Linked DNA regions of Caenorhabditis elegans. The protein of the gene in region 3 interacts with the protein of the main gene of each other region in a pairwise test. Each region holds a gene or a part of one and is shown on either strand. Other genes may lie near its edges. The genes, in order: gldi-8, ztf-31, athp-1 and hmp-1.

What was found.
Region 1: the proteins of athp-1 (region 3) and gldi-8 interact in a two-hybrid assay, tested with the Caenorhabditis elegans proteins (one large-scale study listed by BioGRID).
Region 2: the proteins of athp-1 (region 3) and ztf-31 interact in a two-hybrid assay, tested with the Caenorhabditis elegans proteins (one large-scale study listed by BioGRID).
Region 4: the proteins of athp-1 (region 3) and hmp-1 interact in a two-hybrid assay, tested with the Caenorhabditis elegans proteins (one large-scale study listed by BioGRID).

Annotation. Positions count from the first base shown.
Region 1 is NC_003281.10:12,594,446-12,601,794, forward strand, and holds gldi-8 (C2H2-type domain-containing protein), read right to left. Parts: upstream 4,240-7,349; 5' UTR 4,084-4,239; coding exon 3,982-4,083; exon of another isoform or gene 3,721-3,981; coding exon 3,490-3,720; intron 3,444-3,489; coding exon 2,721-3,443; intron 1,937-2,720; coding exon 1,700-1,936; 3' UTR 1,549-1,699; downstream 1-1,548. Other genes in the region: epc-1 (Enhancer of polycomb-like protein), read right to left, coding at 6,029-6,095, 6,445-6,674.
Region 2 is NC_003281.10:7,239,429-7,245,617, reverse strand, and holds ztf-31 (C2H2-type domain-containing protein), read right to left. Parts: upstream 4,254-6,189; 5' UTR 4,229-4,253; coding exon 4,191-4,228; intron 4,137-4,190; coding exon 3,945-4,136; intron 3,900-3,944; coding exon 3,692-3,899; intron 3,105-3,691; coding exon 2,982-3,104; intron 2,935-2,981; coding exon 2,845-2,934; intron 2,775-2,844; coding exon 2,718-2,774; 3' UTR 2,668-2,717; downstream 1-2,667. Other genes in the region: osm-10 (Major sperm protein), read right to left, coding at 190-351, 480-890, 951-1,100, 1,560-1,627, 1,681-2,116, 2,223-2,255; pars-1 (proline--tRNA ligase), read right to left, coding at 4,517-4,805, 4,850-5,056, 5,103-5,674, 5,793-6,189.
Region 3 is NC_003281.10:10,878,905-10,885,906, reverse strand, and holds the start of athp-1 (PHD-type domain-containing protein), read right to left. Parts: upstream 4,142-7,002; 5' UTR 3,944-4,141; intron 3,547-3,943; 5' UTR 3,538-3,546; coding exon 3,472-3,537; intron 3,421-3,471; coding exon 3,289-3,420; intron 2,723-3,288; coding exon 2,351-2,722; intron 1,817-2,350; coding exon 1,710-1,816; intron 700-1,709; coding exon 419-699; intron 1-418. Other genes in the region: C44B9.3 (C2 domain-containing protein), read left to right, coding at 5,812-5,919, 6,338-6,583, 6,964-7,002.
Region 4 is NC_003283.11:11,844,120-11,854,043, forward strand, and holds hmp-1 (Vinculin), read left to right. Parts: upstream 1-1,757; 5' UTR 1,758-1,758; coding exon 1,759-2,142; intron 2,143-2,186; coding exon 2,187-2,642; intron 2,643-2,688; coding exon 2,689-2,892; intron 2,893-2,964; exon of another isoform or gene 2,965-3,187; intron 3,188-3,287; coding exon 3,288-3,818; intron 3,819-3,920; coding exon 3,921-4,748; intron 4,749-5,231; coding exon 5,232-5,372; coding exon of another isoform or gene 5,373-5,420; exon of another isoform or gene 5,421-5,669; coding exon of another isoform or gene 5,670-5,777; exon of another isoform or gene 5,778-6,661; coding exon 6,662-6,762; intron 6,763-7,503; coding exon 7,504-7,651; 3' UTR 7,652-8,046; downstream 8,047-9,924. UniProt on the Caenorhabditis elegans protein: Required for cell migration during body enclosure and cell shape changes during body elongation. Required for proper localization of other junctional components, such as pac-1.

The DNA.
Region 1 (7,349 bases), 1.7 Mb from region 3:
ATACATTTGAGCGAGGCGGCTGTAAACTATTCGTTCTTTAGCAAAAATAAAAAAAAAACTTTATTTAAATTTAAAAATAAATATCATATGTTATCAGACCTTAGAATATCACGCCTTAATTTAGTAATCATTTTTACTTCATAAATGTGAGAGAAAGAAAAATGGATTAATCATCGGAATTAAATATCATCAGAGTGATTATATTCATCAAATGTCTCACTTTATTGGAGGATTAATTTGGTTGATATAAAATTCCTATTTCATGTAAAGAAAGGTTCGAATTCTGTACCTATGAATGCTGTCGATATTTGAATTCCTATCTTATGGGAAGAAGGCCTTTCTTGTGGGAAAAACGGAGTTATAAAAAAATATACGCAGGTACAGAATTTGAACTTTTCTTCCCATGAGATGGGAATTTGAATATTGGCATTCAATAACTTCACTAAGAAAAAAAATCTCCAAAGGTTGATCGCAAATATGTAGAGATTGCTCGCATCCCTTCAAATATTACAAAATTTTCAAGTTTCTTAGAAATAATCTTCATTTAGATTACTGAAAAATATCCACAGATTACTTTTGAGTTGCCTGAGAAGTCAAAGTAAAACGCAAGACGAGCTCAAATGTATTTTGATAAAAGTGGCTATTTAGGCTTAAGCCGCGCCATACCGCCGGTGTGTCATAAGGATTTCCAATATTTTATTCCAGTTGGGCATCCTAGTATGTTTTTCGGGCCTTTAGGCTTAAGTGTGTCATAGGTACAGAATTCGAACCTTTCTTTACATGAGATAGGAATTTTATATCAACCAAATTAACCCTCCAGTAGAGTGGGACCTTTGATGAATATAATCACTCTGATGATATTTAATTCCGATGATTAATCCATTTTTCTTTCTCTCACATTTATGAAGTAAAAATGATTACTAAATTAAGGCGTGATATTCTAAGGTGTGATAACATATGATATTTATTTTTAAATTTAAATAAAGTTTTTTTTTTAATTTTTGCTAAAGAACGAATAGTTTACAGCCGCCTCGCTCAAATGTATTTTGATAAAAGTGGCTATTTAGGCTTAAGCCGCGCCATACCGCCGGTGTGTCATAAGGATTTCCTATATTTTATTCCAGTTGGGCACCCTAAGTCTAAATAGCTCTTTTTCTTTTCTTTTGCGCTCCAAGCGCAAGGAAAAACCTTCTTGTAACTTTTTAAGAGGGTTTCATATATTTTATTAAAATCGGGGCGAAGCCCTGATTTTAATAAAATATATGAAAAATCTCTACATAGCGTCAGTGGGGGAGCGTTAGCTAAGCCAAAAAAAAAAAAAAGCCAAAACCAAAGCCTAAGCCAAAGCACAAGCCTAAGCCCAAACCTAAGCTTTAGTCAAAGCCTGAAATCAAGCCTAAGCCTAATTCTAAGCCAAAGCCTAATCCTAATATTAAGCCTGTTCGTAAAACTAGGCCTGTTCTCGGTGAGACAACTACCCAATATTTTTCAATGTCATCAAGCTTGAAATCCGCTGGCTGGAATTAATTTGCAGAGGAATAGGCTTCACGCATTTTAATTCATTTATTGTGTTGAAATCTCTACATGAATATCTAGTAAACTCGGTTGGAACCCGTTCGGACCGGTATTTTGAAAATAAAGGGGGGGGGGGAGGTGGGAAAATTACAGCAAAATCTTGAACATTTGAATCTAGAGAAATTTAGAAAATATCGTCCATTTCCGGTAATTCTTCCAATGCTGATCGAGATTTGGGCGCATCCTTCTCATGAACTCTTTTGATGTGCTTCCTCAATTCTGATGGAACCGGATAGGATTTGTGGCAAATTGTGCATTCAAAGCGATTGGATTGTGAATGAACACGAGCCTTGTGTGTTGACAAAGCGGTGACCGTTGTGAATCGTTTTCCGCATTCAATGCAAGCATATGGATGCTTGGGCTGAAAATTTTAAATTTTAATTCATTAATTTTAAATTTTCATTCATTAAAGGTGGAGTAGCGACAGTGGGGAAATTGCTTTAAAACATGCCTATGGGGTCACAATGACCGAATATCATGATAAAAAAAATTCAAAAAAAAAATTAAAAATTTTATATGATTTTTTGAAAATTGAAAAAAAATCTCGAATTGCATCAATTTCCCATTTAAACTTCCCGCCAAGTGATTTTATCGATGGAGCGCGCTTGCTCGTTTTTATTTTAATTTATTGTTATTTTTTCTTATTTTTCGCCGATTTTTCATGTTTTCAGTGTATTTTTATGAGAAATTTGAAGAAAAAGCCAAAATAATGCAAATTCTCGATTAAAAATCAACTTTACAAGCGTAAATCTGTGAAATCAAATACTACTGGCTCCAAATCGTTTAAAAGTGGTACTTCTTCGTTTTTACGCTTGCAAAGTTGATTTTTAATCGAGAATTTGCATTATTTTGACTTTTTCTTCAAATTTCTCATAAAATTACACTGAAAACATGAAAAATCGGCGAAAAATAAGAAAAAATAACAATAAATTAAAATAAAAACGAGCAAGCGCGCTCCATCGATAAAATCACTTGGCGGGAGGTTTAAATGGGAATTTGATGCAATTCGAGATTTTTTCAATTTTCAAAAAATAATATAAAATCTAGAATTTTTTATCATGATATTCGGTCATTGTGGTACCATAGTCGTGTTTTAAAGCAATTTCCCCACTGAGCGTAGTCCACCTTTAAATTCTTATCCTTACCGATTCAGCGCTAATGTATCTCACAGCCGTGACATTTGGATCGTTCTTGGCATCTGGATGTTTTCTACCAACATGCCGGAGCATTGATTGTCGGCTCGCGAAGCTCTCTCCACACACTTGACACGATTTATCCCTATAGGAGACTGGGCTTGTGATTGGCCCAGGCTGACAGCTTGAGAATGATGCATAACTGACGGTGGAAAGAGCTGGGCTTGACGGCAAACTTTGTACTTTCAGAATCTTCGATACTCGCTGTTTTTCAATAATTTTCTCCCTATTCTTGCAGTACCATTCGTGAGTTTTGACAGATGTTGATGGGAATAGCTCCTTGCAAATCGAGCACGGCGCCTTCCATACTTCAAGTTCATCCGCATCCTCTTGATGATGCCGGATTATGTGACTTTGCAACGATTTTTCAGATTGAAAGACCAGTGAGCAGTTGTCGCATTGGATTTCCTTGAGATGGAGGGCCATATGAGCATCAAGGTTCTTCTTGCGCTTATAAGCTTTTCCGCACAGCTTACAACGATGCTTTAATCTAGACAAATCATGCACTTGATCAGTGTGAATCTGGAGAGCTTCAGCGTTCGGGAATGCTTTCGAGCACATAACGCAAGTGAAAATCGATCCAGCAGTGTGTGGCTTCAACAGAGAATCTTCCAGCTGTTGCTTTTGCTCGACTTTCCATTGTGATTGGCTCATTCGGATAAGCGATTGAAGTTCCTGGAATAAAAAGTTTCAGTTGCAAATTAAAAAAAAATAATCTTACCTTCGCCTTCTGCTCAAGCTTCTCATCTCCAGAATCGTTTAGCCTGCGCTCGATCCTTTCTTGGAGGTCTTGATAAGCGTCTTTCCGTTCGTAAGGATACTTGATTTGGACATCTTCCTCTTCCTCGTCTTCGGATTCAACTTCTTCAGCTACCTCGGGAACTCTTCGGTCTTCCGGCTCAAATTCCAATTCTTCAATGAGTTTTTGGAATTCATTGACATTTTTGTTCTTCTGAAAATAAAAAAATAAGTAAAATTGGTCGGCGGTAGTGAGAAGACCTCAGCATAAAGCATCTGAGTAGGTTTAATTTTCCCAAGTTTGAGTTTAGTTTTTTTGGTTGGTTTAATTGGTTTAATTACATTTTTGTTCGAGGATAAACATTGTCACTGACACACCCAATGGCTTCGAATAGTGTTTGCCGAAAAAACACAAGATTTGATCGAAAAAAAAGCCATTTTTAAAGAAATTTGACATTTTTTAATAAAGGATAACCGTTGAAAAGTTGTTAGCGTCCGCTTCAGAATTTGACGATGATGAGCAGCTTGTCACAGGAGTTAAATCAGCGTACGACATTGGATAATCGTAAATCTCCATTAAAAATGAAGAAATAGCGCAGAAAATTGACGAAACTGGTTGTGTGTTCACTTCGAAAATCGATGAGCGCGTGACGAAAGAGGGGGGAGACGCGTCGCGGTCGTGCGACGCGTGCAGCAATGCTTCGGTGTTTGCGGACTTGCTTACCGTATACCTGGAGAAAATTGCGATTTAAAAAAAAAATTTTACATAGTTTTTCTAGTAAAAAAAGGAAGAAAAAATGGATCTGTGCATTAATCCTTTAAATTTTCGTCCAAATATTTGATATAATTAAAAGAAAAACTCAAAATTTCTCTGAAAACCGCATATAATTTTGAAGAAACTATTACCATTAACTTTTTTTGCGCGCCGATACCCATCTGAAAAATATTGTGCACCTTTAAAAACACATTTTTAGACTGGAGAAAGAAAAAAATTCGATTTTTTTAAAACTGTTTTTGGAGAAAAAACCAAATTTTTTGAAACTACAGTACTCCTTAAAGGCGCATACCTTTTTCCGCATTTAACAAAAACAATTTTCGTGTCGAGACCCCCGGGGACCTTAGTTTTGGACTACAGTAATCTCAAAGTCCTATTCAATTGGATTGGAAAAACGAAAGGGAACAAAGAATTCTTCTTTTTTCACTTTTTCGACCTTTCTTCTCTGCGTCTCTCCGATATTCACACTATTTTTTATTTCAAAAAAGTATTGCACTTTTCATGGCCACCCACTATCTTTTTGGCGCCCAGGTGGCCTTGGGAGGGAAATTTTTTTTTTTTTTTAATTTTTCGAAAAATTTGAATTTTTATGTCTGTTTGCTTGTGTGTGTGCGTGTGTGTGTCTATAAAATGCAACAAAAATGTAGGTTCTTTTGATTTTTATGATTTTTTTGTCATTTTTTTTTTGAAATTCTTCAAGTTTTTTTTTTTTGTTTTTGCTGGTTTGTTGCTGGAAAAATGGGATATTCCAATCACAGGTATAGGGGATAGAAAAAAAGAGAAACAGAGAAAATGGGGGACAAAAAGAGAGAGGATTACCGCGTGCAGAGAGGTCGTTTGTGTGGTTTTTTGAATTTTTGTTGGAAAAATCTTTTAAAAAAATAATAGTAGGAGATTTCGAGAGAGAGAGAGAGAGCAAGTTTATTTATACAACAGTACTAATATTGAGGGGAAAATGGGAAAAAATTTTGATTTCGGGGGAATTTTTTGTTGAAAAAATCCAAAAAATCCAAAAATCCACACACAAAAAACCTCCCCGAACACAAAAATTACACCAAACAGTGGGGGGTGGGGAAAAAAAAAGACGACCTCGTAATTGTTAATGAGGGAAATAAAAATAGTTTCGAAGATCATTAAGAAGAGACTGAGAGAGAGAGTGGGATTGGGCGGCGGCGGGCGTTTCGCGGGACGAAAAATGAATCCCGCACGATGAAAAAAAAAAAATGAAAAAAAAAGGAAAAAGATAAAATAGGATATTTCAACTGTGAAAAAAAACAATAGAAAATGATGATGGGATGAGATTTTTCACAGCTCAAAAGCTTGAAACCCACAGAAAAAAAACAACGAATGGAGGGGAGGGGGGAATCATTTTTAAAAATATATATTACAGATATAAATGTGTACGTATATTATATTAAAAATGATTTTTTTTTAGAGAATAAAATACTACAGAAAACACGGCTCAAGTGAGAGTACCGAGATGATGAGACACATATTATTGGGTGGGTGGTTGCAATATTAAAGAATCGCAGATTTTTCCAGCGAATCTGATTATTCGGTCGGGGATTAGGCAGCGGACAGAGTGGGGGTGTAAATACATTGAAATATTTGAGAATCATGGGAGAGAGAGAGAGAGAGAGAGATATGCACAAAACAATGAATGACCATCAAAAAATCTCAGGAGGATTGAAAATTGGCGATGAGCAGCAGTAGCAGCAGTAGCAGAAGCAGCAGCAGAGAGTTCAAATTATAGACCGATTGTCGACGGCATCATGAACTTTTTCCGTTCCAGCAGTGTTACCGTTGACATCGAACTGAAAAAAAAATACGCGTTTTGAGAAATGTGCATTTTTTTTGTTCTTTTTCGGATATACTCCTCTGACAAAAAATAAAATTTCCTGAGCAAAGTAAAACTCCTACGTATTCTTGCATAGAAATTAAGGATCTTAAAGATTCTTGCTACTCAGAATTTTCTGAAAATTTCAATTTTTTAAAAAGAAAACTCAGAATTTTCTGAAAAATTCAATTTTTTAAAAATAAAACTTGCTCGAAATCAAATTCTCAACAAATTTTAATTTCAACAGTTTTTCAAAAACCGTGTAAAACTTTTCAAATTTGCTCTCAAAAATCAAAAAAAAAAAAAGCAAAGAAAAACTAACGAACTCTTTGATGGAATGATCTCGTGCTCCTCTAGCCGGCGATGGTTGTTGATCATCATCATCATCCACGCCATTCATCAATTTTTCCTTGAAAGCGACAGCTACCGCGTTGGCAACAACAACTGCATGCTGTTCTTGTGGCGTATAGCCACCCCATTCGGTTGATGAATTCGATTCTGATGGTGATCCACTCGGCTCTCTCCAATCATCTGAGTCCGACACCGTTCCGCACATCTGCAAAAAAGAAAATAGGAAAATGGGAATTTATTCGACTTTTTTCAAGATTTTTCAAGACAAGTTTAAAAAAAAATTCAAAATTGCTATAAAGGTGGTGTCTGTCGAATTTTTTAAAATTACTTTATTAGACTCAAAATTGTCTGAAAACACCGAATTTCATGATGAAACTTCTTAAAAACTTCTCAAAAAAAAGTTATGATGGCTCAAAAAATGGCCTAAAATAGTTAAAATTGGAAATTTGACTTGTCGCAGCGGCTGGAAACTAACTTTTTTAAAACCACAGTCAAATTTTGGGTATAAATGTCAATTATCTTGCGTTTTCAACTCGATTTAGGTAGTTTAAAGTCAATGGACGGCGAGAAAATGGACGGCTTTTAATTTTTTAACCAAATCTTGCCGTCCATCGACTTGAAAATACCAAAAATCGAGTTGAAAACGCAAAATAATTAAATTTTATACTCAAAATTTGACGGTGATTTCAAAAAAAAAAATTGTTTCCAGCCGTTGCGACAAGTCAAATTTCAAATTTTAACAAATTTTAGGTCATTTTTTGAGCCGTCATAACTTTTTTTTGAGAAGTTTCCAAGAAGTTTCATTATAAAATTCGGTGTTTTCAGACAATTTTGAGTCTTATAAAGCAATAAAAAAAATTCGACAACACCAAGTTTAATG
Region 2 (6,189 bases), 3.6 Mb from region 3:
GATTTTACAAGAAAGGTGACATGAGAATAATTGAATTTTAGTGTACATATTAGTACATTACTTGCAGGGTTCATGTCAAGTTCATACAAAGTTAATACAACTTTCGAAAAAAACAGAAGTAATTTTTGAATTGATCAAGGAATTTTTGTGCTTTCAAACTAAGTTTTGATTGATACAAGTATGAATTAATTAACGGACAATTTTCATTTCTTTTTCATCGATCTCGACAACTTCGATTATTTCCCGATTGGTAAATTCTGCTCGATCAGAAGAATCACGTGCATCAATGATTCCTTCAGGAGCAACACCGTAGTCAATACGGAAGAACTCTTCTTCAAGAAGCTTTCCCGGCTGAAAAAAAAGTTATCGGATAATTTTAGAAATTTCGAACAGTGATCATAAGTATTCAGAATGTTCCCTGGAAAACCTGGGATTTGTCCAGACGGCATAATTCCAAACACACATTTTTCGTTACCTACCTTTCTTGTGATATTAAGTGTCAATTCCTCTTTTGGAAGCAATATTGCACAGATTGGTGACATGACATAATTTGCCGCATTCATGATACTTATCTGATACACTACATTGACTTCTCCGTCATTTTTGATGGTCAACTGACACTTTTGCTCTTTTTTTGGACTAATGAAAACTTTGTTAGATGAAACTGAAATGACTGGTTGCATTTTCTCTTCTTCTTCTTTTTTCTGTTCAAGAGCATTGACTCCATTCAAGGAAAAGAATGATTTGGTTTGAATACTTGGATTTTCCAAACGAAGACCTTCGGCAATTTTCAGAGATTCACAATAAAATTGAATGACAGATGGATCTGTTTGAAGACCTTTTTCCACGTATTTCTGATACGTTTGTTGGCGACGAGTTTCGAGCCAAGTCTGAAGATCACTTTGTATGAATTGTTGATGATTGTCTCTTAAAGTGTTATATGTATATACCTCTGCAATGAGCTCAGTCATTGAATACATTTGCCCAAATTTCTTAACGGCTTCTGCATTTGGAAACTTCTCATGCTCTCTGTAGAACTCTTCCAAGTTATCCGATTGCCATTCTGTGGTTGTTCCAAAACGAAGTGATTTTCTTTCCTTCTGTAAAACTAATTTTTTGTGATTGAAATAACGCCAATTTGAAGGTGCATGTTATTTTTCTAAGTAGACCTTGTCACAACCGTAGAGAATTTACTTGATGAGGAAATTTAAGTGTGGTTAGACTTCTGACTTCTCAGACTTCTGAGACTTCTGAGTAAGACTGAGTGAATAATAAACTCGTAAATACTGATTGCTAAAAAGTGTGGCTATCCACTATTCAGGAAGTATACTTATATGCTGTCATGGATGTTTTTCAGCAATAAAAATGCACTAAAAGTCATTTTGACCTCACACACCCGAAATATAAAGTTGCCACATTTTCCTATGTACAAACAAGAATGGAATAATTTTGTGTGTTCAGAGTGTTCCCATCACAATTTTGAAAGAGAGGTTGCCACGAGTTTCAGAACTCAAGAGGAGTAATATGAGCTCTAGCTAGGTTTTGGTTTAACCACTAACCGTGTCTTCCTCATCGTCCGAAGCTGGATACTGCTTCGGAGTTGGAAGAGTAGCCGATTCACGGGAATCTGAAATATAATTAAGTGTATTCAGTTTGCCCATTGTTGCCTGAGTTTGTTACCTCCTTTCTCCAATTTGACATTTTCCAAATCTTTGACCAATTTTTCGGTTTTCGAAGAATCTTTTCTGGATGCACTGCTTTCCTTTCTTGAACCAGAGTCACCTGAACCAGTACGACTTGGACTCGGAGATTTCTTCGCTTTTGGAGGGGACAATTCGCGACTTTTTTGGGCTGTTGGCTTACGAGGTGGAAGTGTTGAAATGGGTGCAGTTGGTTGATTTGAAACTTTTTGAGTGACTACGGTAGTTGTGGTAGTAGTGGTTTTTGCTGGGCTAGTTTTTGGACTTGAAGCCCCATTCTTAACACCGCTAGTTCCAGTTGTTCCAGTTGATGGAAGCTCATTTGGCAATAGTTTGGACTCAATCCCAGAAGTTTTTTTGGTTGTTGTTTCAATTACAGATGACTTTTTTGGACTCGGATCCAGGAGAGAGGTCTTCTGAAATTTATTAGGTTCTAACATAAATCGAAAAAGTTTTTTCCTAGATAAAGTTATGTGGATAAAATTTCAAGTTTAATCCTAAGTATTATTTCAGAAATCTCACCTTTTGAGAACACGCGGACGTTGCCTTCGACATCTTGCAAGATGAAATTTCCAAAAAAGTTTATTGATATGGAAACTTTTAGAATAATCTCGAAAGTTGGCTCAACATCTCGATTAAGTACCTTTCTACCAAGTCACGCCCACTTCTTGCTCACGCGTTTCTCGTTTTGATAATATAATAAGAGCAGAGTGCACACCTGTCTCCACGGTGATTAATTAAATTTCAATGGTTTCTTACTCTGTCACAAGATATTTTCGTAATCTTTTTTCTTTTGCAACCATAAGAATAATATATCACAATGCAAATCATGATTCGCTGAAAATTTAAGAGTTCAGATGTTCAGCTATGAATCATTGCAGACAACATTTTCACTGTTTGATCTGGATAGCTGATCACATTTTTCAGACAACTTGTGATTATTTCCTATTTCAGAAAAAGGTTGAAGTACAACAGAAAAATTCTTTATTAAGCTAACCATCGAATCAAATATATAATTCATGCAGTGTTCAAAGCACGATCCTCGTAGTCGGCAAGGCGGGAGTAGAGGATTTCCTGGAAAAAATGGTTTTAAAAATGTCAGTCAGGAGAATCGACTTCTAGATTCGAATGGTGAATTACTAACCCCATAAATATGAGCGAAAAAGTGTGCCCATTGTTCATCGTTCATTTCCAGTGGCTGATCGAATGAGCTTTTGCAGAATACACATCTAACCTAAAATTAATATTTCAAATTGAATCTGTTAATGAATACTGTCATACCACTTCCGGTGTGTGATCCAATTCACAGTGTTCACGGAATGTCTTCTTATTCTCGAAAGATTTCTGGCATAAATGACATTTTGCATTGAGGTTGTGGTCGTTCATTTCGTGATGGATTAGACCCTGAAAGTTTAATATTTTGTGTGTGCCAGTCGGTGTCAAGCTGCAGAGGTGTTTACTAATTTAATATATGAAATTTTGAGCAAAAGTGAGTTATTCCATTAAACTCAAACCTTTCTATTACACAGACGCGAAATTTTGCGACTATTGCACAAAAATACGGTTCCTGGTCTCGAGACGACATTTATTTTTGCTCAATACAAAAAGGCGCGCGTCTTTAAAGAGTACTGTAATTTCCAAATCTAGTTTCTGCGGAATTTAAAACGATAGTTTTTCAATAGAAGTATATTTAAAAAATAAATATAACCATAAACCCCAGAACTCTCAAAAGATCTGGAGAAAAATTATTCTTAAAAACTCCTGAAAATTCCGCAGAATAAAATTTTGAAATTACAGTACTCTTCAAAGGCGCACGCTTTTTAAAAAATTTAACAAAAACAGTCGCATAGAGACCGAGCACCGTATTCTTCGCGCGAAAATCGCAAACTTTGCGACTGTGTGATATTGTTGCAAACCGAGTCACCAATGCAATAATGCTTATTTCATCTATTACGTCAGAAGCTTGCACTTTTGTGTCCATAGTCAATTACCTTCAAAGTGTAGTGGTTACATCCACACTCATCACATCTGAAATTTCCCTCTGGAGTTGTCTGTCTTCTTCTAGTACTCCATCTCTCATGAGATCTAGAATCTGAATTTCTGTGACGTCTTCTTCCGTAATCAGTTCTTCTTCGCCGATCACGACAGCGGCTCCGGTTGTTGCTACTCGAGGAATTACAGACGTCACTCTCACTGTCACTGAAAATGAAAGAAATCTTCTAATGCAATGAAAACTGTGCTCACCATGAAATTTCTCCTTCCTCTTTCCACATTGGTTTGTCCCGTTTCGCCGTTTTTTGATGCTTCATCTTGGATGACTCACGGCTTCTCCGCTTCTCGTTTTGCCGTTTTTTTCTATCATTATCGGATACTTCGGAGTTGGTTGTTGAACTCGAATCACGTCGTCTTTTTCTACGATACGACAAAGGAAGTTTTCTGAAATTTAAGACCGCTGAAAATATCTGGAAATCTAAAGTTAAATGATGTTACCGTTCTCCTTCGGAATCGGATTCACTGGATGACGACATTAATATAAAAAACTAAAAGTGTAAATGTTCTTTCCATCATTCCCCACCCCTGACCCCATTGCCACATACCACCACGCAATGTAGGGCACCACGTTCTTTTTTTTCTGTTAATTTTATTTTTAATTTTTATTTTTAATGATATTCAGAACAAATGAAAAAAACGAGCAATAGTAGGATGTATGAAGACAAATGAAACAATCACCAAAAAAAATAAATAGCAAAAACAGAGGACAACGAATAAATACTATGCTTCTGAATATTTAGTTATTAGGGACGTAGACGTGAAAATTAATAACTTCTTCCAAACAGAGCGAAAGCCTTGGCATTGTATGTGCATGATGGGAAAAGACATTTTGATGGAAGTTCTTGTTTTGGTTGATCCAATGGAATACATAACGTCTTGGCTCCCATCTGTGCGCCTTCTCCGTCTTCTCTTGTTGATGCCTTCTTGATTTCCTCTTCACAGTCTGGACGACCACAGAATGGGGACAGTATAATGCACTTCTCGTCAAGAAGCTTCTTGAATTCTTCGATGCACGTGGTGCTCTTCAGGTGAGAGTCACGTTGAGCGAGTACCCTGAAGTATGGAATTTATTTCAACTTTTAAAAATTTTAACCAACTTATTGTACATAGCAGTATGAATTTCATCAAGAAGAGATTTGACAGTTTTAGACAGTCCTTCCAGGGAAAGTTGTTTCTTCTCTCCGTTGTGACGGATTACAGCGGTTACCTGGTTCTTTGCCAAATCATTTGGTCCGACCTCAAAACGGATTGGGACTCCTTTCAATTCCCAATGATTGAACTTCCAGCCAGCATTGTAGTTTTCTCTGTAATTAAAAACGTACATAACTGCATTCATTATTAATTTCAAACCTCAAATCGTGCTCAGCCTTTACTCCATCCGCGACCAAATCCTTGGTAACCTTATCAACAGCATCGAAAAGCGATTGCTTGTTCTCAGTCTTGAATCCAACTGGAACAACAATAACTTGAACAGCGGCAACTCTTGGTGGAAGTACTAATCCCTTGTCATCTCCGTGAATCATTACCATTGCACCAATGGTACGAGTGGAAAGACCCCACGAATTTTGCCAAGCGAATGCTCGTTCTCCTTCCTTCGCTGGATCCTCGTACGAAATATCAAACATCTTGGAGAAATTTTGTCCGAGATGGTGAGAAGTTGCTCCTTGGATTCCTCTACCATTGCATGCCACGTATGCTTCGACTGTCGTCGTAAAATCTCCTCCAGCAAACTTTTCCTTCTCACTCTTTCGTCCCTTCACAACTGGGATAGCGAGCAAATCAGTGTAGACTCCTGCGTAGAGATCAAGGATTTGGAAAACCTCTTTTTCAGCGTCTGCTGGGTTGGCAAAAGCCGTATGTCCCTCTTGCCAGAGAAATTCACGAGTACGAAGGAATGGTGTTGGATGCTTGAACTCCCATCGCTGTAAAGGAAAAAAGTATTATGATAATATTTTTGCAGTGGAGCAAGACAGCTAGGAGAAATTCAACAGAAATTTATAAAAATTTTTAACTAATTTCAATTAAAAAATCAATACTTACAACAACATTGCACCATTGGTTCAACTTGATTGGAAGATCGCGATGAGATTGAACCCATTTCTTGTAAGATGGGTACATAACTGTCTCTGAAGTTGGGCGAATAGCGATTGGTTCGGCCATTTCAGAGTTTCCAGCACGAGTAACCCAAGCAACTTCTGGGGCAAAATCAGCAATATGAGTCTTTTCGCGTTCGAGGGCAGCATTTGATACGAACATTGGGAAGTAGCAGTTCTTCACTCCTAATTTCTTAATTCCAGAATCAAACCATTCTTGAATAGATTCCCAAACTGCAAATGACCATGGTCTAAGAACATAGCAACCAGATACATCATAGTATTCGATCATTTCTGCCTTAGTGATAACTTCACTGTACCATTCCGAATAGTTATCATCTTTC
Region 3 (7,002 bases):
AATTGATTTTTTCTGTAACTATTTAGAAAAATCTAAATATTTCGGAATTTTTCATATTTTTTTAAATTAAAATTTTCCGAGTTTTTTAGCATTTTTTTGAAAAAATTGAAAATTTTAAAGATTTTTCTGTTTTTTATGTAAAAATCTAAATATTTCGGAATTTCGGAGATTTTTTTTTGGAAAAAATTGAAAACCTCAAAGTTTTTTGCATTTTTCAGAAACAAATTTGAAAATTTCTGATTTTTGGCATTTTTCCTGGGAAAAATCTAAAAGTTTCCCAGTTTTTAGCATTTTTCTATTTTTTTAAAAATTAAAAAAAAAACGATTTTTGAAGAAATCCAAAACATTAGAAAATTTTTTTAATATTTCTAGAAATTTCAAGTTTTTTAAAAAAGATTTTCAGTAAGCAAAACCTCACCAAAAACCTCCGATTTCATTCGAAATTGTTCAGTTTTAATACAAAATTCCTCAAAAATCTCGTAGCTCGGCTCAACATCAGCATATTTATCATAAAGCCGTCGACGATCTTCTCGTGAAATCTCATCACCAATTAAAACACTATCAATGACAGTTTCTGGATGTCTTGGACACATCCAATAGAAATATGCACGAACATGAATAAGTGGAGGTGTTACACATTTTTGATGCCATATCAGGTCACAAAAGTCACATTTTAGCATTCGTGTCCAGTCGTCTTTTCTGCAAAAAATAATTGGAGTTTTAAATTATATGGTAGGCAGGCGCGGTTTCAGGGCCTGATGCCTGCCTACCTTTGCTTATTTTCTGCATTTTTAAGGGAATTTACAAATTTCTAAGTTTTCTCATTCTATCAACTAGTTGATTTGAAGTTTTTCCGAAAGTTTTTTGAAATTTTTAAGAAAATTTTTCGGAACATTTTTGAAATTTTTCCTCAACTACAAAATTTATTTCAGAAAATTTACAGAAAATTTTTTTTTTAAATTAAAATTTACTTTTTTCAGAATTTTTCAGAAAAAATATTGAATTTTTCTTAACAATTGAAAATCACATAATATTCGAAAACTATATGTTATTTTTCTTCAATAGGTAATTTCTGTCTTTTTCAGGTGATTTTTTGATTTTCAAAAAAAAATTAAGATTTTAAAATCTTGACTTTTTGAATTAGCTAAAACTTTTTTTCCAGAAAAAAAACACATTTTTGATGCCAAATTAGATCACAAAAGTCACATTTTAGCATTCGTGTCCAGTCGTCTTTTCTGCAAAAAAAATAATAATTGGAGTTTCAAGAAGGGATCAAGGGTGCCATTTTTCGATTTTTCGATGTTTTTCAGTGAAAATCGAAACATCGAAAAATTGAAAAAAATGTTCAGAAAATTAACCATAAAATTCGATTTTTTATTTAATTTTGCTTATATTTGTAAGAAAAAAATCCAAATTTCTTCTAAAAATAAGAATAATGTCCAAAATGTGAAGCTAATTTTTGGAAAATCGGAAAATCGAAAAACGAAATTTTTTGATTTTTGATTTTTCTTTTTGATTTTTCTATCGTGTTTTTCAGAAAAAAATCTAAAAGTTCAGATTTTGAGATCATTTTAAGAATCGAAAATGATTTTTTTTGAAGAAAAATTTCGGATATTTTTCGAGAGAAAATCGCTCAATTTCAATACTTTCTGGTAGGAAACTCCTCTTTTTTTTGGCACTTTAGGTCCATTTTTGCTACGAAAACGTACAAATTGCACTCAGCACACACTTCTCCCATTATAGTTGGCCTCTTGTCTTCCATTGCATCACCAGAGAAACAATCACGATCTGCTTGGAATTCCGGTGGTATTGTATACTGAAAAATGTTGGAAAAATTATTTATAAATGTTTGGAATAATATCTAGGTTTCTCGAGAAAATTATTGTAAAATTGGAAATTTTTGAAGGACACAGAAATAAAGAATTTTCACAAAAACTCGAAACAAGAATTAAAAAAGCGTTATTTTTAATATTTTTATCGGAAAAATGGTCTCAAGAACGATAATTTTCAGGAAAAAAGGTCGAAAATACTCAAAAATATTTGTACATTTTTCTGCAAATAAATTGTGTTTTTTTCTGTTTCTATCCTATCCTACAGTGTTAAAAATCCCGATTTTTCTAATTTTTTTTTCACTTTTTTCCCGAAAATCGGATCGAACGCCGAAAATTTCAACGTTTTTCGGGAGAAAAAGTGTTTTAAATATTTTCTGCTAATAAAATTTCGCATTTTTTAAAACTATTTTTATCGAAAATTAAAAAAAAAAATTAAATTTTAAAAAATCCAGAATTTTCGATTTTCATTAATTTTTCAATTGAAGCATTAATTCATTTTTTTGAAAAAACTCCCTTACATCCATGGGATTAGCCATTCCAAGTGCTTTCAGTAGATTTTTATCCCGAAAACAGTCTTGAATTTCTGCAAATTCACTTTTTGGCCCATAAGCAACATCTTTTTTCATTTTCTCGGCCTGTTCCTCATCTCTAAGTCGATTACAATGATATTCAATAGCTTCCCAATTTCGGTGATTTTCATTTTCAACTCGGAGCACTGGATTTACAGACGGCGAGCACTTTTCCGGTGGAAAGAGCCGAACGTTTTCCGGAAGATTTCTACATCGATTACAGTAAAAATTGTCGTCTGGAAGATCGGATGATTCGTATCCAATACAAGCAAGATGAAAGGATGCTGGACACTGTTCACAGCATAGAATGTTACCGCCGGACTGCAAAAAAACATGGAAAATTATTTGGAAATCTGGGCATTTTTTTATTGAAAATTTATGAATTCAGTGGAGAGATTTTTCTAAAATTTGGGATTTTTTTTTCCAATTTTGCAAAAATAATATAATGAGCCTAAGCCTACGCCTAAGCCCAAGCCTGAACCTAGGCCTAAGCCTAAGCCTAGGCCTATGCTTTAGCTCAAGCCTAAGCCCAAGCCTACGCATAAGCCTTAGCCTAAGCTTAAGCCTAAAGGCATAAGCCTAGGCCTAAGCTTTAGCTCAAGCCCAAGCCTAAGCCCAAGCCTGAACCTAGGCCTATAATAAATTTTTAAAAGGGAATTTTTATTCTGAAAATGCTAAAATCATCAAAAATTCGAATTTTGCAGCTCTTTTGGACTAAAAACTTTTTTAAAAAATCAAATAATTTCAGCATTATCTGGTTTTTTTACTTTAAACTCCAGTTCTGAATCGAAATTTTCAAAGATTTGATGATTTTTTGCAATTTTTCTGCCTTTTTCAGGGAAAAATTAGTTTTTTCCAATATTTTTCCAAATAATCAATGTATTTACAGAGCAAATTCCGCATATTTGAGCTTCAGGCCATTTCCATTCTTCCTCCACTTGCTTTTTCTTCTTTCCAGACCCTCTCGCCGACAATTCTTCGGAAATGTGGTGTGGAAAACCGCAAACTCGGCGAATTTCCTACAAAAATTTGGAATTTGAGGCGAAAAAGTGAAAATTTGCCAATTTTACCGGCAGAAGACCGTCGTTTGAGTCGTATTTCAGCTTTCTTCGGCCTTCTTTCTCTTTTTTCTGCATTGATATTTTCTGAAAACTAAGAAAATCAATGAGAAATGATTTTTTAAATGCATTTTAAATTAAAATATCAAAGAAAAAATGAAAAATCGTCATAGAAATCGCAGAAATTCGAATGAATTTTCATGAGAAGCATGATGTCTAGCTGTCTGTGCCCTCCTCGATTCACATACTATTTCTTCGTAATTCGCAATGGAGCGCAGTTGCGTCAAGCCGAAAAAAATTAGGTTTTTTCCTATAATTTCGGAAATTACGGATAAAATCTTGATTTCTTAGGGGAAATTGAAGAAAATTCATAAAAATTTATAATTTCACGCATTTCTTTGAATTTAATTTCAGATTTCAGGTAAAATTTCAGATTTTCAGAGAAATTTCCAGCGGCTAACTTGAAAAGAATCACTATTCGCACCTTTACAGCCATCTCCACAGTCACAATCGGCATTGTAAACCATCGGCAGTCCTATTCGAACCCTAAAACTCATCTCCACTTCTTTTGTCGGCTATTTCCGGTTTATGGCCTTGTTTTTGGCTTGTTTGGAAAGAAAGAAATAATTTTTGTTATGAATATACTTTTTTCAACAGAAAATTGGAACAAAAGCGAAGGAAAACGAGGAAATTGAACAAATAAAAGATTTAAGAAAATTAAACAATAAATAAACTACAGTAATCATAAGCAGCATGGACAGAGTTTCGGCGAGGGTCTCGCCACGATGTTATAAACGGCACATGCGCCTTGAACAAAGTGTACTGTAGTTTTAATTTTAGAAAACTTTTTTAAAAAATTTTTTCCCAGTTCTTCCCAGTTTTTTGTAGTTTTTTATCTTGGTTTCTGTCAGATTTTCCATTAAAAGTATTTTCAATTTTTTTAAAATCATATTATATTTGATATATCACAAAAAATGTAGTGAGATGATGTTGTGTGGTACCTCTGGGTTGAAAAAATGAATTCAAGCGGAAAATAAACAAAAATAAGCACATTTTTAGTACCCAGAACCGCTATTTACTGCTCCTCAATTGAAAATAGAATCAAAATCGCAAAAAATAACCTAAAATCTTAAATTTTGTTTACTTGTCAGTGAAGTAGCTGTTTTTGCATACTTTTTGTGTTTTTTTGGTACATTTACGGTCGATATGTGTGCACCACACACCTGCCAACTTTTGTGCATCTACCAAATTATAATAGGTATACCTTCCATCAACTACTGCAACTCAGACAAATGGACAAAATTTCAGATTTCGAGCACATTTTGGGTCTATAATCCTCTATAATCCAATTATTTATTACGTTTTTCGTCAAAAATTCGAATTTTGTATAAAAAAATCTTATCTTTTGCCCAGATAAAGCTCCAAAACAAGGCAATAAACATCTTAATCTTCAGCCCATCACAAATCAAATCCTTTGTTCTTTCAATAGACATCTACACGTTGTAAAAGGTGCTAATCCCGTCCTTCGACAAGATAACCATCTCTCGAGACGCTCTGTAATTCCAGCTCCGCCTATAATTAGGTGACACCCCCTTCCTCCTTCTACCTGACCATGCATCCAATTAGTCAGTCATTGTGTTATTCTTATTCCAGTCTCTCAAAGTATGTCGATGTATTATTTTATCCGATAAAATCGACATTCTTTTTTTTATTTCGATATTTCCTAGAATTCTCAAATTTTCACTGTTTTCTGCAGAAATTAGCTTTTTTTTTCTCACTGAAATTCACACTTTTTTTTGGATTTTTCCAAATTTCGAAAAATAATTATTGAAAAATCACCGAAAATGTTTGGTTCTGAATTGAAATTTTTTTAAAAATTCGAAAAAACCTATATTTTTTTGGGGAAAATCTTAATTTTTTAGCTTTTCTCTTCAAAAAATTGGCAATTTTCAATTTTCTGAAAGCTTCAGAATTTTCCAATTTTCCTAAAATTCCTTTCTGGTCGTATTAAAAAAACGATTTCCTCGAGTTGCAGAAAAAATTTTTTTCCGAAGTAAAAATTGAAATTTTCTCTAAAACACCGAAAAATTGGAAAAATTTTGAATTTTTGAATATTTTTCTGCAGAAAAAGTTGCATTTTCTCGATTTTCTCTCCGAAAAATTGAAAAAATGGCAGTTTTTGATTTATTTGCAACTTTTTTAAAATAATTTTTAATTTTTTTCCGTTTTTTTTCCTGATTTTCAACAAAAAATCCTTCTTTCAGACACACACTCTACACTAAAATGTCGTCGCCCATCTTCTATGGAATTCTACTATTATTGGTGTGCTCCGTGAGCCCGGTCATCTCTGAAATGTGGCTCCACGTGAATGTTCTCTCTGTGGAACGGAAACCATGTCCAATTGATGAGACCTCATGGGGTACAGAGACTAGTGGATGTGCAACTATGAGCTATATGACTGTGAGTTTTGGAAATTTATAAGATTCCTTGAAAAATAGTCCAAAAGTTTTGGAAAAAAACATAATTGGTTAATTTTCGCGCTAATTTCAGAGTTTTTACAACCAATTTTGCCGAAAAAGTCAATTTTCCTTGAACTTCGCGTCAAAAATATGTTTTAAAACACCATTTTTCCCCGAAAAATCTATCGCAAAATATACATCTTTGCCATAAAATTACTCGATTTTTGGTTTTTTTCTTTGAAAATTCAAAATTTTACTTCTTCACTGCGACCCAAAAAAAGCCCAATACAATGGTAAAAAAGTTTCGAAAACAAATTCCAAAATTTCAAATTTTAGCAGAATTTTTGGTAGTTTCGGGCCATTAAAGGAGCGCGGTTTAGTAGATCACTTTGAAAAAAAATTAATTCAGTATTTTCCAGCTCGACGAACGAATCCTTCCCCACCACGAACGTCGTTCATCAAGTTTCGAGTATATAAATGGAATCGCTCGACCTACAGTAACCCATTGGCCAAAAGGACGATTAAATGATTGGATGGTATCTATTCAATTTGTTTCAGTGGATCCTGTATATGGATTGGCTAGAACTTGTGATCGATCTGGATATATTCGGGTTTTCCAGAATTCTACTGGGGAAACGCCAGAGTTTTTGGAAAGAACACTGCAGGTTAGAAAATTGATCTAAATTTCAGATTTTTCAGGCAAAAAATTCGGAAAAATTCGGCGGATTTTGTTGTGAATTTTAATTAAAAACCTAGTTTTCGAATCGAAAAAAAAGCTAGAATAAAAAAATTCTTATAAAAAATTCGAAGCTAGCGAAAAAATCAGATTTTAGCTGAAAAAATGAAATATTTCAAAATATTCCAAAAAAATAATGGCACGGTTTTTCCGCCTTTTTTTTGCAAAATTCACAAAAATTCGAATAGAAAAACAAGATTTTGATATTTAATTGAATATTTTTATTTTATTTCGAACCTTCTTGCTAAAAACCCCATTAAAAATTGAATTTTAAGTCTAATTTTGTTCCAAAATCCCCAAAATTTCCAGATCCAAGGTCAATGCTTCATGTCAACCGTCAAAGTTCAA
Region 4 (9,924 bases), on a different chromosome or scaffold from region 3:
ACAACTAATTTTTTTTAATTGGTCAAAACTTTTTAAATGTAAACTGGAAAGGTTCCTAAAAATTACTACCTGGGGTCAAGCTGAATTGAGGAACATCTTGGCCACACTTCGTAAAAATTCTATAAGTATCTTAGTAACTCCAGTGAAAAAGTTCAATAAGCCGGCAACAGTTACTAGATTTCCGTAAATTGTCTATGAAAGTTTAGACAGGAGAAACCTCTTAAAATTGGGACAAAATAGACTCTAAATCAAATTATTATTGAACATATTTTTACAATAGCACAGATCGTGTTGCAGTGATTAATAATGTTGTTGATATCATCTGAGAAAGTTCAGGTTCTCAGAAAAATGCAATCTCAAAAATGTACTTTCCCTGATTTTTCCTAGTTTTTTTTCTTTTTTTTCACTTCAGTTCACCCCCGCGATTCAAAGTTTACAAACAGCTGCTGCCGTGTACAAAACGTGATTCAGACTTCTCTATGACTCAGATTCCACTTTTTTGAAACGAGAAATTGTTTCGGTCGTATTCAAATTTAAATTTCAATACCCAATATAAGAATATGATGATGATGCATCAATTCACTGTCCTTCCATATCCCTCAGAATTATCCCTCGAAATCTCCGAATAAGACGTAGAAGACGTCAAAACAAAAGGGAAACTTTTTGTCCCTTTTCCATCATCTTCTCAATACTCCTTCCATAAAAGTCCTTTATTTCCGGGGCGCACACTCACACGCTGCTGCTGCAGTTGCCCCAACATAGGCCATACGTACCCAATTTTATAATCCATGGGAGTCGGGCAAACAAACTCAATTCGGTCATCTTCTCCATCTGTCGAGTCTCTGCTCATCCCGAAGGGAACCGTCCTGCTTCCGTCCGTCCCAATGTCTGTGTCTCTTCATCTCCATTGACCAGTGTCCTTGCCTCTTCGTCCTCTATTCCCGCCGCTCGTCCGTTCTTATACCCTTCTCTCCGCTCACTCGTCACCCGCTGACTGACCGACCGGCCAACCCGACTGAATCATCATTTCTTTATGTGTCTTCTTTCTCTCTATATTTAACAGTGTCTTCGTACACCGGTTGATGGTGCGGAATCATCGTTTTCACCATATTCACTTCTCACTCGCAAATACCTCAAAAGTTTGCTTTTTGTGACTTTTTGGCTTCGCAACTTTTTTATTTGAAAATTTTTGAGTGTGAAACATATATTCAACATGGCAAATAAAAACTAAGTTTCTTCATTTTCGGTCGAAATTTTAATTTTCGAATTTGTTTTTTTCTTAAATTTTATTTAAAAAATAGTTATTTCCTAAATTGCCGGCATGTGAAACATAATCCCCTATTAATTGTTTTGTTTTTTCGTTGAGTAAACACCCGAAAGGCCTCACAGGCCCCACCACACTTGTTTCTCGCTATTTTGCGAAAGGATTTTTTATTTTTTTCATTGAAAATTTAATTTTTAATTTTTGAAAAGTTAGAGTAAAGATTTTTATTTTATATGAGTCATTTTCTCAAAGAATAAGTAAATTCTGTGTTTGCCAATAAAGTTTAACGGTGACAGTACCCTCTTGGATCTCTTTGAGACCAACCACCCCTTCTTTATCGTGCGCCTTCAAATCTAACAGTAGTTCTAATCGATACTTTAATGTAAGGTTATGTATTTCTTTTTATATTTTTTGATTTCATCTCAATATAAATATTATTTCTCTTCGTTTTATTTGCATTCTAATCTGAATTTTCAATTTTATTAATTTTCAGAATGCCTGCGAATGGCAATTCTCATGCGTATTTCAACATCGACGAAGTGCGCTCGAAAAATGTTTTGAAACAAATTACTCAATTAATCAATGAAGTGACCAACATCACTGAAACGTTTCCGTTAAAACCTGGACAAACTACTGAAGGACTTGTCGCCACTCTTGATGCTGCCGTTGCTAATTTTCTTCAAACGGGAAGCTTTGCAATTTCGAAATGCCCAATTGCAAACAGTGATCCACGCGCAATTGATTTATTGCACGAAGCTCTTGGAGCAGTTCAAGATACTGGGCAAGTGATGATTCAAACTGGAAGAGATTTTGTCAGAGATTCAACTTCAACAAACAAACGAGCTATTGCAACGAATTCTGGTAGAAATTTGTTGACTGTAAGTTTTTAGGTACTCTTTTAACTGAAAAATGTTGTATTCAGGCTGTCGCTAAATTCCTAATTCTTGCCGACTCGATTGATGTAAAAGTGATAGTTGATAAAGTAGATGAAGTTCGAGAAACTGCACACCAAATGATTGAAGCGGATACAAAAATCAAAGTAGATGATTTGTACAATCTTCTCATTTCTCAAATCGAAGAACTTGATATCACTGTTCGACGACGAGCCATTGATTTGGTTAAACCAAATCAGAGAGATGATCTTCTAGCAGCAAGATCAGCACTTCGACAGACTGCACCACTTCTGTATACTTCAACACGAACATTTGTAAGACATCCAGAACATGAAGAAGCTCGAAGAAATCGTGATTACACTGCAGATGAAATGCATTCTGCTTTAAATGCTCTTGAATCTGTTTTAAACGGACAACAACCGAAAGTAACATTTTCTGAATATGGAAGAATAGGCGATCTTATCAATGAAATCGATACTTTTCAAGTGAGTTTAAAAATTTCAAATAATAAGACAAATAATTTATTTTAAGAATCGAATCGAAATTGATCCAGCCCATTATCGTCGAGGAACTGATCGTCCAGATCTTGAAGGACATTGTGAACGAATTGTTAGTGGTTCTGCTTCAATTGCCGATGCTGAAAGCACTCGTGAAAATCGAAAACAAAAAATTGTTGCTGAATGCAATAATTTGCGGCAAGCTCTTCAAGAACTTTTGACCGAATATGAAAAATCTGTAAGTTTTTTCTATTGATCTCTTGACTTGTTGCCTCGTTTAAAATAAAAAGAAATAAAAAACATTCAAAGAAGCGCATCTTTTTCACAAAAGGGCGATGGAGACGGTGAGAACAAACAAACAAACAATCGTGCGTTCTTTCAAGTGTGACGCCTTGTCCCTCAGGGCGAGAACAACTGTTTTTGTTTGTTAACCGAACTCGAACTAAAGCCGTTTTTTAGAAAAAAAAATGACCACCGCGAGTTCAGACATGGAAAATGTTTTTTTTAGAATTTCGGGGAAATTCTTTAAAAAATTTGTAGTAGTAGAAAATATAGAGACTACAAAGTTTTTACAATAAAATTTAAAGCTTATTACGACCTGTTTAACTATGTTTTAAATCTGTAATTTTTCAGACCGGCCGAAGAGATGATAATGATGATATTCCTCTTGGAATCGCAGAAGTACACAAAAGAACAAAAGATCTCCGGCGACACCTTCGTCGTGCAATTGTAGATCATATAAGTGATGCTTTCCTGGATACCCGTACACCGCTTATTTTACTGATAGAAGCTGCTAAAGAAGGCCATGAAGAGAATACAAGATATCGTTCAAAGATGTTCCAAGAGCATGCAAATGAAATTGTTTCAGTTGCTCGTCTTTCTTGTCAACTTTCATCAGATGTTGAAAGTGTTAGTGTCATTCAGCATACGGCTGCTCAACTTGAAAAACTTGCTCCACAAGTTGCTCAAGCTGCCATCTTACTTTGCCATCAACCTACTTCAAAAACTGCTCAAGAGAACATGGAAACCTATAAAAATGCTTGGTTTGACAAAGTGAGATTGTTAACGACTGCTCTTGACAATATCACTACTTTGGACGACTTTTTGGCTGTCAGTGAAGCACATATTGTTGAAGACTGTGAGCGGGGAATCAAAGGTATCACGGTAAGTATTTTAGTTCTCAAAATTTTAAATTTAATGAAAATTAACAAAAATAGTTTTCGCTAAATTCGTCAACTTTTGAGACGTTCAAACTGAATTTTCCAGGCAAACGCTTCAACACCGGATGAAAATGCGGCCAACTGTGAAACTGTCGACTGTGCTGCCGGATCGATACGTGGACGAGCTCTCCGAGTCTGTGACGTTGTCGATGCTGAAATGGACTTCCTTCAGAACTCTGAATACACTGAAACTGTTAAGCAAGCTGTTCGGATTTTGAAAACTCAACGTGTAGATCAATTCGCTGAGCGTGCGAGCGCTTTAGCCAACCGTCAAGAAGCACACGGACTTACATGGGATCCAAAAACAAAGGAAGAAGAAATGAATGAATTTATCAATGCTTGTACATTAGTTCACGATGCAGTTAAAGACATTCGACATGCACTTTTAATGAACCGAAGTATGAATGATGTTGATTCGGATGTAGAGTATGAAGCTGATGGTGTTGGTGCAGCAAATGCAGATGCTAATCGTACGATATCCGAACAAGAAAATCAACAGAATCTGATGAGACGATTGCCAGAAGAAGAGAAAAAGAAAATTCAAGCACAAATTGATATCTTCAAAGTAACACAAACACGATTCGAAAGAGAAGTTGCCAAGTGGGATGAAACAGGAAATGATATTATATCATTGGCCAATAATATGTGTAAGATTATGATGAGTATGACAGAATTCACAAGAGGTTGTGGGCCATTGAAAACGACAATGGATGTTATCCGAGCAGCACAAGAAATCTCACTTAATGGATCAAAACTAAATGCATTGGCACGGCAGATTGGAGAAGAAAGTGCTGATTCGCAGACGAAAAAGGATTTGCTCGCATATTTGTCACAAATCACTCTATATTGTCAGCAACTGAATATTTGTAGTAAGGTGAGTTTTTTTAATTGGTGCCACGAGCTGTAAAAGCGTACCAAATGTTTTTGGTCAATTGTTTGTTTCGGGGGTTTTTTAAATTTGTCAAATTAGTTTTTCAAGAAAATTGTAAAGATTCACAATTAAAAACGCGTCTATAAAAACTAAAACTGAAAAGAATCTCGTATTTTTCAGAATTATCTGAAAAGTTTTTGAAAAAATTGAGAATTAAAAAAAAAAACTTATAGATAGTGTGATATTTCACCAAAAGAGGTTTCAACTGTTTTTAACGATTTCAGTAGAGATATAATTTTACTTCGCGTTTTTTTTGCGAACCAAGCTCTAGACTGAAGCCATGAAAAATGAAAAAAAAATTGTGATTGGCCTCACTTATACTAGAAAATTGTTCATATACTTACTATAAATAAGTTTTGTTTAAATTGCTTTCAAAAAACCATGTGAAATATAACTTTAAACTTTTAATAGAAAGTAATATTTCAGGTGAAAGCTGATGTGACTCAAGTTGGAAATGAGCTTGTCGTATCTGCACTTGACTCTGCAATGTCTCTTATTCAAACGGCTCGAAATCTTTTAACTGCTGTTGTACAGACTGTTAAAGCTGCATACATTGCCAGTACCAAGGTTGGTTCCCTTTCTTTAAACAAAACATTAATTATTATTCCCACTTGATGTCTGATACTATTGCTTTCCAGCATTTATCACACATTTCTTTTTTCGTACAGACGATAACGGCTGCTTACGTAATTCATTTCAAATCAGATGGTATTTCGCCCACTCTTTTGAGTAGACACGTGGTTTAAAGTGCCAATAGACCAGTTGCCTTTTGTACACTGAATTTTGAGATTTTAGAAAGTGTACCCAAAAGTTTTAGAAAATTAAATAAATAAAATTAAAAAAAAAAAAAAACATTCTCAATAGTGTGCACAACGCGAACGTGCTCGAGTCGAATCAGCCGTTGCGCTTAGCGATGCTCACAAAGCTATTAATTATGAAAGTCCGATGGATGAATCTGGTGAGAAAAAATGAGAAAGCATTAAATATCGTGTTGTGTGGTTTTATCGATGTTGTTTTTGAGAAAAAGAGATATTGAGCATGTCGAATTTAATTTTTTGCTTTTTTCTCAAAATTTACGTTGGCTGCTGCGTAATTTAATGGTAAATATTTTTTATAGTTAAAAAAAGCTTATGTCTTGAGTTCAAATCAGTGGTTAAGACTATTAATGTTTGACGATTTTTTTTTAATGGAGTAGGGATTTTGCTTTAAAAAAATCCAGAATAGTTTGATTCTCAGAAATACCCAAAAAAGAGAAAGAATGAAATGTCGAATTTTCGAAAATCAGATTTTTCAATTTTTGGCGATTCCCTATTTGAATTCTCTCAGTTTGGTGCGAATTCAAACATGGAATTTAGCCAAAAATTAAAAGCAAAATCTCAGATTTTTATAGATTTCCTGAATCCTAGAAAATACAAATTAATTTTCATTATATTCCAAAAAAAAGAAAACAATTCCAGTTAAATATGTTAATTCAAATTGGTAAGGACATCCCTTTCTTATTTTCCCTTCACACTTAAAAATCGTTTTCCCAACAAAAAAACATTTAACTTTCTAAAAATGCATTGTATCGGTCTTGATGTGTGGACATCGATCCCCCAATATGTCGGTCTTGTGATCTTATACTCCCCCGTAAAAAACTCATACATTTTAAACTAGATTGTATTGCAACTTTAACTAAGAAAAGAAGATTAAGTTGAAAAAAAAACTTGAAAGAAATTGATACGAACGTAAAATATGTGTTATTGTTGATGAAAAGTGTCTCGATGTTGTTTGCTGTTGGTTTCATTTTCTTAAATTGCTCGAATGCTTGGAATTCTTTGCTGATAACTTCCTGAAACTCATCCTTATTCTTGCAGTTCCGTCGTCCTAATGCCAACAGTGTACGTGTCGAGTGGCGAATGGCTCCACCAAAGAAACAACCACTAATTCGACCACAAAAGAATAATGCTATAATCAGGTAACGTTTTCATCTATTTTTTTTGAATCAAGGATCCCTCTATAAGTGTTTCCTTTGCCTGCAAAAGGACATATGACACACTTCATTGAGAAGCCATGTGAAAAAAAGTAGTCGGTCCCTGAATAATTCATAAAAAATAGCACTGCCACCAGAAAATGGCACGTAGCTGCCATTGTCAGTAGTCCCAAGTCCCTTTTTTTGTGGTAAAAGTGGTGAAAGCCGAAAGAGCTGCGACACCAAAATGTATATTCTTGACTTGTTGAGCAAAAGTGTATCCCTTGAGGATCATAAATGCAAATTGAGTTTTCGGAAAGCAAAAAAAAAGCGACAATGTTCATAAAAAGTGATGAATAGTTGGATGATTTCGGACATTGAAATGAAAGTTTTAAAGCATCAAAAAACACAATTTTTCTTTTCTTTCAGAAAATTTTCCCCCCCTGAAAAAATTTTTGATAAGATTTCAGACATTTTTTAAACCTATTAAACTAAATTTTACGATTTTGAGATGCACCCCGTAAATCGACACAAGCGCTACAGTAGTCATTACAATAATTACTGTAGTTTTCGCTACGAGATATTTTGCTCGTCAAAAATATGTTGTGCAATACGCATACTCAGAAGTTGGTGTTCCCGTGATAGGTGATCACTAATTCTTGATCATTATCTATTCCATTACAGAAAATTAATTAGAATCCCCCTTTCAAAAGATGTATTCAACGAACGCCGACTAATGTTATAAAGAGTTTGCAGACGGGCATCCGAACGGCGACCTTTGCAACCAGCTAAAGTGCTCGCCGAGTTTACGCGTAACGAGATTGAGACGGGTCGTGATAGTGACGACGAGGAACTTGATCGCCGGCATCAACAAAGAATAAACGGTCGTTTATAGATAATTTATTTCAGTTTTATTCATGTATCTTCATACTTTTCCCTTCCAAATCTTTCCACACATCCTTTATATGCCCGAGTCTTTATTATTTTCTCATTCTTTCAATTCTCTTCAGCTAGAAATTTGTATCTGTGTATTTTTTGTATTCATTTCTGTTTAATGCTCTAAATTCTATCAGCTCATCACCGCCACCATTATCACCGCATTTTTCATTTTTCTCCCCCATGAATATCATAATCCATACTGTTGAAAATCAGGTAACTTTACATCTTTACAATTTATTTTCGCACTATCAACCTCACCCTTTCAACGATTTTTTCTGTATGATTCTGATTTCTAAACTCCCTGATCTATGTGCACAAGTTTTTCAAATTAGATGAACTCAATTCTTTCCTATTTTTATTATGTATATAGACATCAAAAAGGTCTCGTACATCTGGCACCGTCAAAATTGTTGTGCCTGAGCATTACGAGCAGCTGGTACTAAACGGAAGTGTGTGCAACAACTCTCCTTCCACCCTCGCCTCCTTCTTCATTTGTACTACGTTTTGCTTTTCCCCTTATTCTCTTCTCCTGGACTACTAGCAACAGAAAGGGAGGAGGACATAATTGTTTTTTTCTTCAAGAGAGACTTCCCAAATGGATATCCCCTACTATTTTCACACATTCCCATATTGCCACCCATGTTTTCGCTTCAAGACCCAATTTCAATTCCCTAATTTCCTGCGCATTTCCGTGTTTGCACACGCGGCGAGTTACTTTTTAATTTCCTGAAAGCTTACGCCTCCGGGTTTTCCGTTTTTTTTTTTGCTGCTGTTGCTGCAGAAAAATCCTGGAAATCGCGTGCCTAAAGTGTATGGAACGCTGCTTACAGAATTTCCAACGAGATTCTAGAATATTCAACTTATTTTTCTTTCGAGAGACAAAGTGATGGTGGTGACCCAAATACTAATTAGTACTATTTTGTACGCTCATCTTGCTCCAGCGTCCTTATTAGTCTCATTATTTTGGGGCGAAAGTTGGCTGGTTTTTTGTCTCTCGTCATTGTTTTGGATGACCATAGAACATCTTATTTAGAAACTTGTTAGTAGAACTACGTTACAAAGTACAGTAACTCTACAAATCTCCAAAATGTGGCAGCCTCATTTTTGAGTGTTCCGAAGTCACGACCACTTGGTACAGTCAATCATGTAGAAGATATATAGTGACGTCATTCTACCAAAATAAGTGTTGCCCGGATTTCCAAAGGTCTAGCTAGAATTAGGAAACTCTGACTGTTTTATGCAATTGCGCTCTTCTGAAGAACGCTGGTCTCGCAACATTTCAAAAATCAGTTATGTTTGATCATTGTCTCCTTATTTTGAATACCCTTAAAAATACCTGTATATGAAAAATGGGTTTTTTTAAAGATATTTTAATTTGCCACATTATAGAGAACTTGCTCACTTGATCTATTTAGTAAACTGAGATTTCTCATCTGGATATCCTCATATTTTAAATTGAACACCCAGGTTTGTACTCCATTAAATCTCATAGCAAACTTATTGTTCAATTTTGAATATTTTGAATTTTATCTATCTAGTAATTATTTTATGACTTATTCCAGTGTTTTTAAAAGTTGTCTTGTCTACTTATTGTTCCTGTTTATCACGAAAACTATAACAAATATTGGTAAAACTAAAATTCGATTAGCGCATTAAGCCAAATATTAAATACCAGCCGTGGACCGCACCTCCGGCGCGGCCCCCGACTTCTGGAGCTGAAAACCATTTTTTCTGAAACTACCGTAATCATACAGTACTCCTACCGTACCACCATTGTACCACTACAGTACCTCGACTATATCCCTACACTAACCCCAACTCACTATCTCTCCAGAAGTTAAAACTTCGCAGACTACAAAGAGTACATAGACTACAAACTATGGACAAACGGAATAAGCGCTATATATATAGTAAATGATATTTAATAAAACCTGCCTGACCAAAAACACTGAACCGGAAGAGAAGTTCCTCCTCTTCGAATTCTATTCATATCGTTCGTTATCAACGCAGTAATCAGTTTCCGTTTTCTTAACTAGTTAGATAAGAATATTTTTATTTCGGTACAATTTTAGTTGAACCAGACAGTTGTTGTTTCCTTGAGCACTTACCACGTGCTCATTTCGTAATAAATAAAAAATGACCCCCTGCTTTTGTGGAAGTTTCTGGAGTTTTTCCACTTTTTTGGAGAATTTGACACAAGAAGTAAATACTAGACTCATGAACATTCGT